3 linked regions of the Lonchura striata genome follow. The protein of the gene in region 1 binds, or shares a complex with, the protein of each later gene. Links are inferred from orthologs where the notes say so. Each region holds a gene or a part of one and is shown in the gene's direction. Other genes may lie near its edges.

What was found.
Region 2: EFTUD2 (region 1) and CWC27 share a complex: the UniProt entries of both Homo sapiens proteins name them as parts of the minor spliceosome. The link is inferred for Lonchura striata from reciprocal best matches to the Homo sapiens genes EFTUD2 and CWC27.
Region 3: EFTUD2 (region 1) and RBM48 share a complex: the UniProt entries of both Homo sapiens proteins name them as parts of the minor spliceosome. The link is inferred for Lonchura striata from reciprocal best matches to the Homo sapiens genes EFTUD2 and RBM48.

The regions. Positions count from the first base shown.
Region 1 is NC_134627.1:2,898,556-2,902,301, forward strand, and holds the start of EFTUD2 (116 kDa U5 small nuclear ribonucleoprotein component), read left to right. Parts: upstream 1-1,129; 5' UTR 1,130-1,215; intron 1,216-1,595; 5' UTR 1,596-1,596; coding exon 1,597-1,701; intron 1,702-2,301; coding exon 2,302-2,467; intron 2,468-2,885; coding exon 2,886-2,964; intron 2,965-3,746. Other genes in the region: DNAAF19 (dynein axonemal assembly factor 19), read right to left, coding at 301-461. UniProt on the Homo sapiens protein: Required for pre-mRNA splicing as component of the spliceosome, including pre-catalytic, catalytic and post-catalytic spliceosomal complexes. Component of the U5 snRNP and the U4/U6-U5 tri-snRNP complex, a building block of the spliceosome.
Region 2 is NC_134642.1:28,456,090-28,459,835, reverse strand, and holds the start of CWC27 (spliceosome-associated protein CWC27 homolog), read left to right. Parts: upstream 1-713; 5' UTR 714-843; coding exon 844-885; intron 886-1,616; coding exon 1,617-1,713; intron 1,714-3,264; coding exon 3,265-3,377; intron 3,378-3,746. Other genes in the region: protein SREK1IP1, read right to left, coding at 430-442. UniProt on the Homo sapiens protein: As part of the spliceosome, plays a role in pre-mRNA splicing. Probable inactive PPIase with no peptidyl-prolyl cis-trans isomerase activity. As a component of the minor spliceosome, involved in the splicing of U12-type introns in pre-mRNAs.
Region 3 is NC_134603.1:133,593,045-133,596,790, reverse strand, and holds the start of RBM48 (RNA-binding protein 48), read left to right. Parts: upstream 1-1,123; 5' UTR 1,124-1,911; coding exon 1,912-2,312; intron 2,313-2,425; coding exon 2,426-2,571; intron 2,572-3,746. UniProt on the Homo sapiens protein: As a component of the minor spliceosome, involved in the splicing of U12-type introns in pre-mRNAs.

The DNA.
Region 1 (3,746 bases):
AGGTGACATTGTCCTGGGGAGGGGACAGTGCCACTCCACTGCTGGCTACAGCTGGGCCACCACAGGGGTCAGGCACGGAGCAGAGACAGATCTCAGCCCACACGGGGCCACCTGAGGAGCTCTGGGCCAAGTCTCAACCACGGCCGGGTGGGCTCTGCCCCGGGGCTGTTCAGGGCACCCCGGGGCCGCTGCCCTCGGGTCCCTCGGGGCAGCCTCAGACCCTCAGAGCTGAGCTCAGACCCGGGGGGAGCGCCCAGCCGAGCTCCCGGCCCCTCCCGGGCCGCTCCCCGAGCCCCGGACCTGAACTGGTCGTAGTCGGGGACGCCCTGGCGGAGCGCCCGCAGCTTGGCCTCGCCCTCCCGCTGCCGCCGCTCGTCCTCCGCCAGCGCCGCCCGCAGCTCCCGCTCCAGCGCCGGGAACGCTCCGGCCGGATCCATCCCGGGCTCCATCCCCGGCTCCATCCCGGGCCGCGGGCAGGCACCTGCGGGACGTGCGGACAGGGACAGCCCTGCCTGCGGTGGCTTCGAGGACACACTTCTGTCACAACAGCGCTGCCGGGACTGGCCCGACAGCCCCGATCCTATCGCGACAGTCCTGCCTTGTGAGCCCCAAGGCCGCGCACGGGGATGGCCACTGGGAAGCGCTCCCCTGCCCGAAACTCCCCAGGCCCTGACACACCGCCGGCCCCGGGGCCCCTTGCTGTGTCGCGACAGCCCCGCGGGTGACGAACACCTCAGCCCAGGGCTGCTCTCTATCGCGACAGCCCCGCGGGTGACGAACACCTCAGCCCACGGCCGCGGTCTATCGCGACAGCCCCGCGGGTGACGAACACCTCAGCCCAGGGCCGCTCTCTATCGCGACAGCGCCGCGGGTGACGAACACCTCAGCCCACGGCCGCGCTCTATCGCGACAGCGCCGCTCCCGCCGCCAGAGCGCCGGGGCCACGCAAGGTCCCCGGGGCTGCCCCGGCCGCGCCTGACAGGACCGGCCCCGCCGCCCCGCGCGGCCCCGCTCGCCCCGCGGCCCTCGGGATGCTCCGGAACCGGTCCCGACCCGGTCCCGACCCCGCTCCGGACTCAGCCGGCGCTCCTCGGAGGGGCGCGGCGCTGGCGACGGGCGCGGAACGCTCTGTGGCGACAGGCGGCGAGGGCGGCCCGGGGCCCTTCGGCAGCGGCGGCGCCGGCGAGAGCAGCGGCGGGAGCGGAGCCGGGGCAGGTGAGGGAGAGCGGGACCGGGAACGGGACTGGGAATGGGAATGGGACCGGGAACGGGACTGGGACCGGGGCCGGTGAGGGAGAGCGGGAACGGGGCCGGGGCCGGGGCCGGTGAGGGACAGCGGGACCGGGACCGGGAACGGGACTGGGACCGGTGAGGGAGAGCGGGACCGGGAACGGGACTGGGACCGGGACCGGGAGTGGGACCGGGGCCGGTGAGGGAGAGCGGGACCGGGGCCGGGACTGGGACCGGTGAGGGTGAGGGAGAGCGGGACCGGGACCGGGCCGAGGCTGCGGACAGGGCCGGGGCTCCGTGCCCTGAGGCGGTTCTGTCACGGCCCGCAGTCCCTGCGCCCCCACCGATCCTCTCCCGCCCCCCAGCATGGACACCGACCTGTACGACGAGTTTGGGAACTACATCGGGCCCGAGCTGGACTCGGACGATGACGACGACGAGCTGGGCCGAGAGGCCAAAGACCTGGACGAGGTGAGGCGGGGCAAAGAGCCCCGGGGCCGGCGGGGTTCGTCCTGCCCGGAGCCGGAGCGGGGACGGGCCCGGGCTGCTGCCGCCCCGTGTGACTCTGGGCTCTGCTCAGTGCCCGAGGGTCGGAGTGTGCCGGTGTTTAAAGGATTACAAAAGCTGTTCCTGCAGAAAGGGAGATGCAGAGTCCTTGCTGGGAGCTCCCGGGCCGGGCTGTGCTCGGCTGGTTTGGTGTCGGGCGGGGTCCGTGTCCGGCGGGAGGGAGCCGAGGCTGCCGCGGGGAGCCGCATCCTGGTGGGGAGAGGCAGAGCAAGACCCCACGGACACGGGGGGAGCAGAGGGGCGGGGAGCCCCTTCCCATGGCCTGTGGGGTGGGTTGTGTTACCGGGTGTGATTCTTGTGCTGTGTGGGGTCGCTGCCTGGGCTGGTGTCCCTGCAAGGCCAGGGGCTGTTCCTGATCCTGTGCTGTGGGCAGAGCCATGCTGCTCCTCCAGGAGCTGCTCCCAGGGCACCTCTGGGGCTGCACTGGGGTCCCTGGCTCGGGGTGACCCCAGGCCTGTCCCCTTGGGGGGCCCCACAGCCGCTCAGGGCGAGCTTTGGTTGCAGCTGGAGGATGATGACGATGACGATGACATGGGGGAGCACGATGAGGAGCACCCCGGGATGGAGGTGGTGCTGCACGAGGACAAGAAGTACTACCCCACGGCAGAGGAGGTCTATGGGCCTGAGGTGGAGACCATTGTGCAGGAGGAGGACACGCAGCCACTCACCGGTGAGTGGGGAGGAGGTGGCGGGAGGAGAAGGCTCTTAATGGATCCTTGGAAAGGGAAATAATCTTCCCTTCTCTCCTGCCCCGTTGGAGCCCCCTCCTAGCCTCAGGAGCTCTGCCTGTTGTGTGCAGATTTGGGCACTTGTGGTTTTTGCAAACCCAAAGGTACCTTGGAAGAACAGGAATCAGCAGAGATGGGAAAGCTGTGTAAGGGAGAAGTAAATGCAGTTAAGTGATCTCCTTTACCGGAATGGCTCAGCTGGAAGGGCCCTGCAGTGGCCATCTCCTGCAGCCTTGACAAACAGCTGGGAGAATCTGTCAGCCACAAAATTGAGGGGTTGTCAGCTGAAGTCCCCATTCCAGGGGCCATTCCTGGTTCAGGGGCTCTGGGAACAGTCTGTTGTTGTGTCTCTTGTTTCAGAGCCCATTATCAAACCTGTGAAAACCAAGAAGTTCTCCCTGATGGAGCAGACGCTGCCGGTCACTGTCTACGAGATGGAGTGAGTGTGGGGCTGGGGAGGCACATCTGGGCTCTGGCTTGGTGTCCCACTGACCTGAGAGCAGCCAGTTCCCAGGTTCTGAACCCAAAACAAGAGGAAGTGCAGGACAAACTGTTTCACAGACATTTTCCCTCCCCACCAGCAGCACAGGGTAGGGTTGCACACAAAAGGGGCTAATATCAAGCTCCATAGCAACAGCTTGTGGCTCAGGAAACCTTCTTGGAATGGTTTGGGTCGCAAGGGACCTTAAAACCCATCCCTGCCATGGGCAGGGACACCTTCCACTATCCCAGCTTGCTCCAAGCTCCAATGTCCAGCCTTGGCCTTGGATACTTCCAGGATGGAGCAGCCACAGCTGCTCTGCCCAACCTGTTAAATATCCACACAGTCAGTGTGTAGCACACATCATACTGGGACATTTTGGGTTGATCCCACTCTCAGATTAGGTCAGATTAGGTCCCATCTGTTCCAGTTTCCATTGGGAATTTTTGTGCTGCTGGCTGAGTGCAGAGTGCTGTGTCAGTCAGCAGTTGTGCTGTGCTTGTGGCCCAAAGCAGCTTCTTGGACACCAGGGCTGGGAGAAAACTTGGAAAAAATTCCAAATGCATTTAAAATTGGAGATGTCATATGTCAAAGGAGTTTTCTGTGGAATAAAAAGCATCCTTGGCTTTTTCTGGTAGAAATGTAGTGTTGGTCTGTGCATTGTGGTGGGCAGGGTCCATGGCCCTGTACATGCAGTGTGTGTGCGTGTTGTCTCTCTTTGGGATGAGCAGCTGGAGCTG
Region 2 (3,746 bases), on another chromosome or scaffold:
CCCACAAGAACCATCTACTGGGACACAAGCATTAGGGAAAAGCCAAGTCTGCCAGCCACCGCGCTCTCGCTCCAGCCTCAGAGGAGGCGATGGCAGCGCGGCGCCGGGATCCCGAGCCTCGGGACGGGCCCCGCAGCGCCCCCGGCTGCCCCTGCCAGCGCGGGCACGGCCCCACCTCATCCATCTCCAGCTCATCTCCACCTCCACCTCATCCATCTCCAGCTCATCTCCACCTCCACCTCATCCATCTCCACCTCCATCTTCCTGCCGCTGCCCCGCCAGCCCGGACCGGAGCAGCGCCCGCCGCCTCCCACACGCTTCCCAGCGCCGCGCACAGCAGCGCGCCCTCCCCGCCGGCTGTCCCGGCTGTCCCGGCCCCGCCGCTCGTTCCCGTGCCGGGCTGCGGGGCCGGGGCCGGCCGCCCCTCACCCGGCAGAGCCATCGCGCCCTTCTCGCCGCGCTGCACCGGCCCGCAAGCGCAGCGACGCCTGTCCCCACCGGAAGGCTTTGCCCGGCGCACTCCCGGATCGTACCACTCCCAGGGAAGGCAGGGGACCTCAGCGCCCCTAGGGCGGGAGCAACGCTGGGAGACCCGAGAGGTGTGGAGAAGCCTGCCGACATTTCCCCAGACACGTTGTTTCTCAGTGAATCTCGGAAAGCCTCTGGCCGAGGACTCGTTCCTTCATCCTTTCTTCGGCTTGTGCAATTTCGTCCCCCCTCCCCTGGGCTGCATAGGGGCGCCCAGCATGGCGGGCGGCTCGGGGCGGTAGGAAGTGCTGGCGGCGGCGAAGCGGGTCCGGCTGCTGGGGAGGGCTCGCCGGCCGGGCCGCTCCTTTCCCCACCATGAGCAACATCTACATCCAGGAGCCGCCTACCAACGGGAAGGTGAGGCTGCCTGGGTGAAATCCTGGAGAAGCTGTATGTTGTAGGGTTATGGGGGGACAGGCGAGAGGAACACGAGCTGGGGTGGTGGTGATGATAGTGATGGTGGTGGTGGTGGTGGTGATTGGGGGTGGAGAGGTCGTTGTTTCTGTGGTTGATTGGTTTGGTTAAAGTTACTTCTTTGAGGCTGCCAGAGTCAAAGCATGTGGCGTGATGTTTGGAGACATAACACAGAGCAGTCCTCGGAGTTTTTAATTTAATTTTTAATTTAATTTTAATTTAATTTTTTAATTTAATCTGCTTCGGATTATAGTTTACCTCCTTAATTTTGTTATGATCTCTCACTGGATATTATGTTCCTTGTAAGGGCAATATCTGGATATTTATGGCTTTTTTTCCCCCCATGCTGCTCAATATAGAAATGATAAAGGGTATCTAAAGTTTCTGTGAAGCATCAGCCATCTTATGTTATGTGTTATGCTATGTTATGTTATGTTATATTATGTTATGTTATTACAACTATATTATACATCTTTATTATGCATATTGATTCAGAGCTGTATCTCAAGTTCTGGAAATGCTAGTTAGAACTAACAGTAGCTACCTGACATACTTAAATATATATCACTCTTACAAATATAACAAATTCAGATTTAATTTTTTTGGGCAGTTTTACCTTTGATCAGTGACTAAGTTACAGTAAACTGAGTCTTCATTTATCTGTGTGTTTATAGGTTTTGCTGAGAACTACTGCAGGAGAGATAGATATAGAATTATGGTCAAAAGAAGCACCAAAAGCATGCAGAAATTTCATCCAGCTATGTATGGAAGGTAATGATTGAATGGGGTGGGGAGCTGTTGAAATTAATTACTACGTGATCTTTGTGCCCTTTCTGTAAAATAGAGGTCATAATTATATTTTGACTTTAGTATGTCAATAGGTTTATTTGTGTTCAGAAATTATTAGTTAACACTCTGGCAATGTTTTTCAAGGTTACCAATGAAGCTAGTGGAGAAAAAAAATAAAAATTTTGGATGATTTTCTCAAATTAAGCTGATGACCTAGAATTGAAACATTGTCTTTCTGAGTCTTGAGAGGCTTTCTTTCAGCAAATGTCTACAAATTATAACAACATCAGTGTGTGCATAAAATGGCAGTGATACAATATTGGCCATTCTCCAAAACTGTCATTTCTGCATCACAATTTACACTATCATTTCTTTTTTCTTTTTTCCCTGAGCACTCCTTATGTTTCAGTTACTGTATTTTTTGATTGATAAAAGCTCTGTAAAACTTTCCAGCAAACTAGTGGGTTCTTGAATGAGAAGCTCCCTTTTGAGAAAACTGTAACAAAAATCTATGAAAGGCTTGATGCCTTTATATGTTTTCTAACTGGTATTATTCTCCTATTTAAGCATTTGTAAAATTGTGAAGAGTTCTTTTTGCCTTCATATGTTAAACAAAAATAGCAGTCTAAGCTTTGTGCCTCCAGCATAGATCCAGTCTGTTTTGTCCAGTCTCTTTTCCTGAATGTTGAGACTTTTTGCAATGGTAAAGGAATTTCTAAGCCCATGATAAAGGTTCATATGTGCTCAGTGGGTTTAATTTAAGTCTGATTTTTTTTAATTACTGTAAAGCATCTTGTGCTTTATAATACATTTAAGTATTTCTCATTAATATCCTAGCATATAACCATCCATGACTGTGTCTAGTTATGCTGCAACATTTGCACACCCTGCCTTATCTTGCAACATGCTACAGAATTATTTATTATTATTATTATATCAACCAGGGGTTTGATTCAGGTAAAGTTTTGTTTTCAATCCTTTTGTTTTCTTATGATCGTATAACCTCTATCAGATAGATAAAAGAAGATATCTTAGAGAGCAAAATGTACCACATATTTTATTCTGCAAAAATTACCAGTTTCAATACAGTGCAGGTGATTAAAGATGTTCTATGCTAGTGAGTGAAAGTGCAAATCATCTGTATATGGGTATTGCTAATGGCTAATGTTGTATGTGAGATCTCATCCAGGATACAGCACCATATTTCTAGTTCTCCTTTAAAATTGGTGCATTTTGATAGTGTCATTCCACTAATAAAATCTTAAAAGTTGAAAAGAATGTAATTCATCAAGGTCATCTTGTCAGTGATGGGCAGGATTTTTTGCAAAAGAAGCATGTGATACCACAGGTTGTGATTTCGTAAGTCTGTGGAGAATAGAACGGAAACAAATAGAAGCCAACAGTGGAATCTAGTTGCAGTATTTGCTTTCTGGAACTTCAGTCTCTGGATATCACTGCATGATCTGTATGAAAGTTTGGGTTTGAGACCACTTACATGTATTTAAAATATATATATTTCTTTTTCTTTTTTAGAGTATTACAATAACACAATATTTCACAGAGTAGTGCCTGGCTTTATTGTGCAAGGGGGTGACCCCACTGGTACTGGATCAGGAGGAGAGTCAGTCTATGGAGCTCCTTTCAAGGTGTGTATCTGTTACTTACACATTAATTTGTTGGGTATTCTCTATCCTTTGTTATTCCTACCAAGTTCTGAAAAATCAAATGTTACATGAAACACATACTTGAGCAGTAGTTGCCTTCATGTGCTACTTCAGTGTGTTTGAATATCCCCTTCTAAATTGAGAGTTCTTAGATCTAGCTATGCTGGTATAATGATAAACCTGGGGGCTCAGATCCTGAGCAAAGCTACACACAGGCTGAGCAGCTGTGTTCTGTTCTGTCTGACTGTTTTATTTCAGGTGGGGCAGGCACCTTTAATTTGTGACTGAAGCTGCAAAGCCTGTTTCTAGGCCTTCCAACTTCTTGCTGACTTTTGCATTTCGCACAAGCCT
Region 3 (3,746 bases), on another chromosome or scaffold:
GGCCGCTGCCAGCCAGCCCGCCGCCCGCTCCGCCCGGGCACGGACCCGCCTGCCGGGGCGGCGCGGGGGGTAATGCTCCCTGCCACCCCCGGGCAGTGGTACGGCCCACTGCCGGCCAATGCGGGCACGGCGTTTCCCGCTGCCCGCCTCTGATTGGCTCCTTCGCTGCGGACCGCGGCTCCTCCTCCCGCCGCACGGAGGGAGCCAATGGGGGGGCTGCGCGGCGCGGGGGGCGGTGGGAAGATGGCGGCCGGCGGCAGCAGCGGGGGCCCGGGCGCTCCGTGCCGGCACCACGCGCAGCTGGGAGCGTGCGCGTCGCGCGCCAAGTACCGCGAGGGGTGGCGGCCGCGCGCCGTGAAGGTGCCGGGCGGGCGTGAGCGGGCGGAGCCGCCTCCGTGAGGGGCTGGGGGCGGCCGGGGCTGCGCTGGAGTCCCGCGGCTCCCGGGAGGGAGAGAGGGAGGCCCTGGGCCTGGCCTGCTGCGCGGCCGGGGCTTCTCGTTACTGCGGCAGAGCTGAGAGCTTTGGTATCTCTGTGTGCGCTCTGTGTACAGTGAGCCGTAGCGGCACCTTGGAGGCTGGCGCGAGAAAGGAAGCGCTAAGGTTGGAGAAGGCCTTTAAGATCATGAAGTCCAACCGCTTCTGTTTCCAGCCTCTCGTCAGGAGTTGTAGAGAGCGATGATGACTCCCCGAACCACCTTTTTTCCAACCTGAGCCCCCCAGCTCGCTGAGCTGCTCCTCATCAGACCTGTGACCCTTCTCTGGACATGCTCTGGCACCTCAGTGTCTTGGAGAGAGGCCCCGAGCTGAACCCAGGATTCGAGGCGCAATCTCACCAGTGCTGGAATAAGGGTTACTGCGTGCCCACAAACATAGGGACATCTTTTTCGCCAGTGCCACCTTCCTGTAAAATTTCAAACCCTCCATAGTTCATGAAGTCTCAAAGCTGTTACGTTCTTTTATTCTTCCAAGTGTACATGGGGAGGCAGAGGACAGAGAGCCTTGTGCATCCACAGAGCTCTGGCCAGCACAGGCATCCAGCCATCACTGGGCATTGGAGGAGACACACAGGAGAAACAGTATGGATGTCCCAAGTGTGGAAAAAACCTTATTAGAATCTTTTCTTCCTGGACAAGAAAGAGGTAGAAGGACAAACCTTCCCAAAAAAACCAGTCACATAGTGAAAGCCTGAAATTCCTTCAATCCCTTGTTCCCAAAAGAATGTAGGTGGGAGTGTGCAGCTGCCACAAGAAAACTTACATGACCTGCCTGCAGAAACTTTTATAGTGGAAGTTTGAGAGTTGATTTCCCAAGCAGTTCTCACTTTGTCCAGAATATGGGGTTTTTTTAAGAAATATGTGTAACTTATGCAGTCTAAATATTTGTGGTTTGGGGTTTTTTTTAACAAACTCAGAATAAATTTCCTTTAATCTCAGGGATAACCTGCCTAGCTGTCTGTTGTACATAGTGAGCCATCAACAAGCTTTGCTTAGAGTCTGTTATGTGACAGTCACAAAGCAAATAAGAATGGTTGGTTTCATTTTTAACTTGCTGAGAGAAGACCTTCTTTTTCTCAGCATACAGATTTTATCTGTGTGTCTTAAAAATGTACACTGTTGGATCACCATGGGAAGTAGACAGCTCTGCACACACAGGATTTACCCCAGGGAATTGTGGTAATTATTTTTTTACTCCCTGTGTGGAAAAAAGCAGTTTTCCTCACTTGCACAACTTCTTTGGCTATGAAGACCAATTTTTCAGTGTTTTTTTTCTGTATTTTGACAGCATGTCCTATAAACTGGTCACTAGTATGTCTTGCATGGAAGATGGCCAGAGATGTAAGAGATTTTACTTGGGAACTGGCAGTAGTACTCTGACTTTGTGTAGAAAAGTCAAGTCTATTTGTGTTTTACTATGCATGAGAGGCATGAGTTCATCTCTTGCTCAGTGATGAAGAGGTCCCAAATGACCATGCACTTACTGCCCTGCAAAACAGTACATGTGGGTTTTCAGCATCCTGAGAGGATTTGGAGAAAAACAGAGAACATGGAGAAAATGCATGCCTTTTGCAATAAAGCAAGAATGGGAATGTTTTTTCATAGTCTTTGTTTTTGTTTTTTTCAGGTTTACACTATCAACTTGGAATCTCGCTACTTACTGATACAAGGAGTTCCTGCATTAGGTGTTATGAAGGAGTTAGTTGAACAATTTGCATTATATGGTGCCATTGAGGAATATCATGCTTTAGATGAATATCCAGCAGAGCAGTTTACTGAAGTGTACCTTATAAAATTCAAAAAACTGCAATGTGCAAGGTATTGGACAGGGCAATATCTGCCTCTTGCTGTCTTAATCTTTTACACCTTCTGTACTTGCAATGTGTTAAGTAAAATCCTCAGTTTTGTTGATAGACTTTAATTCCCTTCAGGGTGGCCAAGAAAAAAATGGATGAACGAAGTTTCTTTGGTAGTTTGCTGCACGTGTGCTATGCTCCAGAATTTGAAACAGTCCAAGAAACTAGAGAGAAGTTGCAGGATAGAAGAAAGTATATAGCAAAAGCAACAAATCAAAGAGGTTAGTGATTAAATTTTCTATAGAATCCTGACTAAATTTCCTATAAAATTTTAATGTTCTTCAGGACTGGGTGGGGTTTTGGCTAAAGTGCCTGTTAAAGAAAACTTTTTACCTACCTCTTAAAGATGCTATAGTGTGTGGATGGTGGCCAGATGCCAGGTGTCCACCAAAGCTGCTCACTCACTGCCGTCCACAAACCGGACAGAGGAGAGAAAATTTAACAAACAGTTCATGGGTTGAGATAAGGAGCAGGAGGAAGATCACTTATCAAATACCATCAAGGCAAAACAGGCTCTACTTGGAGACATAATGTGAAATTATTTCTAACAAACTCAAAGCAGGATGAGAATTAAATAAGCCCTTATAACCACCTTCCTCCCTTCTCAGGTCTATCCCCTGCCCAGCAGTGCAAGGGCACAGGGAATGGGGGTAATGGTCAGCTCATCACCCATGGCTTCTCCCGCTGCTCAGGGAGAGGAGTCGCTCCCCTGCTGCCCCCGGGGAGGCTCGGGAGGCGGTTCCCTGTGAACTCTCCAGCGTGAGCGCATCTCGGAGCGGCAGCTCCCTGTGAGCTGCTGCCACGGGTCCCTCCACGGGCACAGCCTCCCCAGCCCGCTCAGGGTGGGTCACTGCTCCGGGGTGCATCCTCCAGGGCCAGGCTGCTCCCGCCCGCAGCCGGGCCCCTCTCCACGGGTCTCCCCCGGGATCGCAGCCTCCTCCCAGGCATGCCCGTGCTCCGGCCCGGGGCTCCTCCCCGGGCTGTGGCGGATCCCGCATCCCCACGGCCCCCACGGGCTGCGGGGCACAGCGGCCTCCCCATGGCGGCCCCGCGGCCTGAGGGAATCTCGGCTCCAGCGCCCGGAGCCCCTCCTGCCCCTCCTGCCCCGACCTCGCCGTCTGCAGGGCTGCTTCTCGCACGGGCTCGCTCTGCTCTTCTCTGGCCGCAGCTACAACTGCACAAACACTTCTTGTTTATTTTCCTGCTTAAATCTGTTACCACAGAGGTGCTACCGCCATTTCTAATCGGCCTGGCCTTGCCCAGTGGCACATCCATCTTTGGAGCCACCAGGAATTGGCTCTGCTGGACATGGTGAAAGAATCTGGCAGCTTCTCACAAAAGTCAACCCTGTAGCCCGCTCGCTACAAAAAAAGGGGTCATGCAAACCCAATACAGA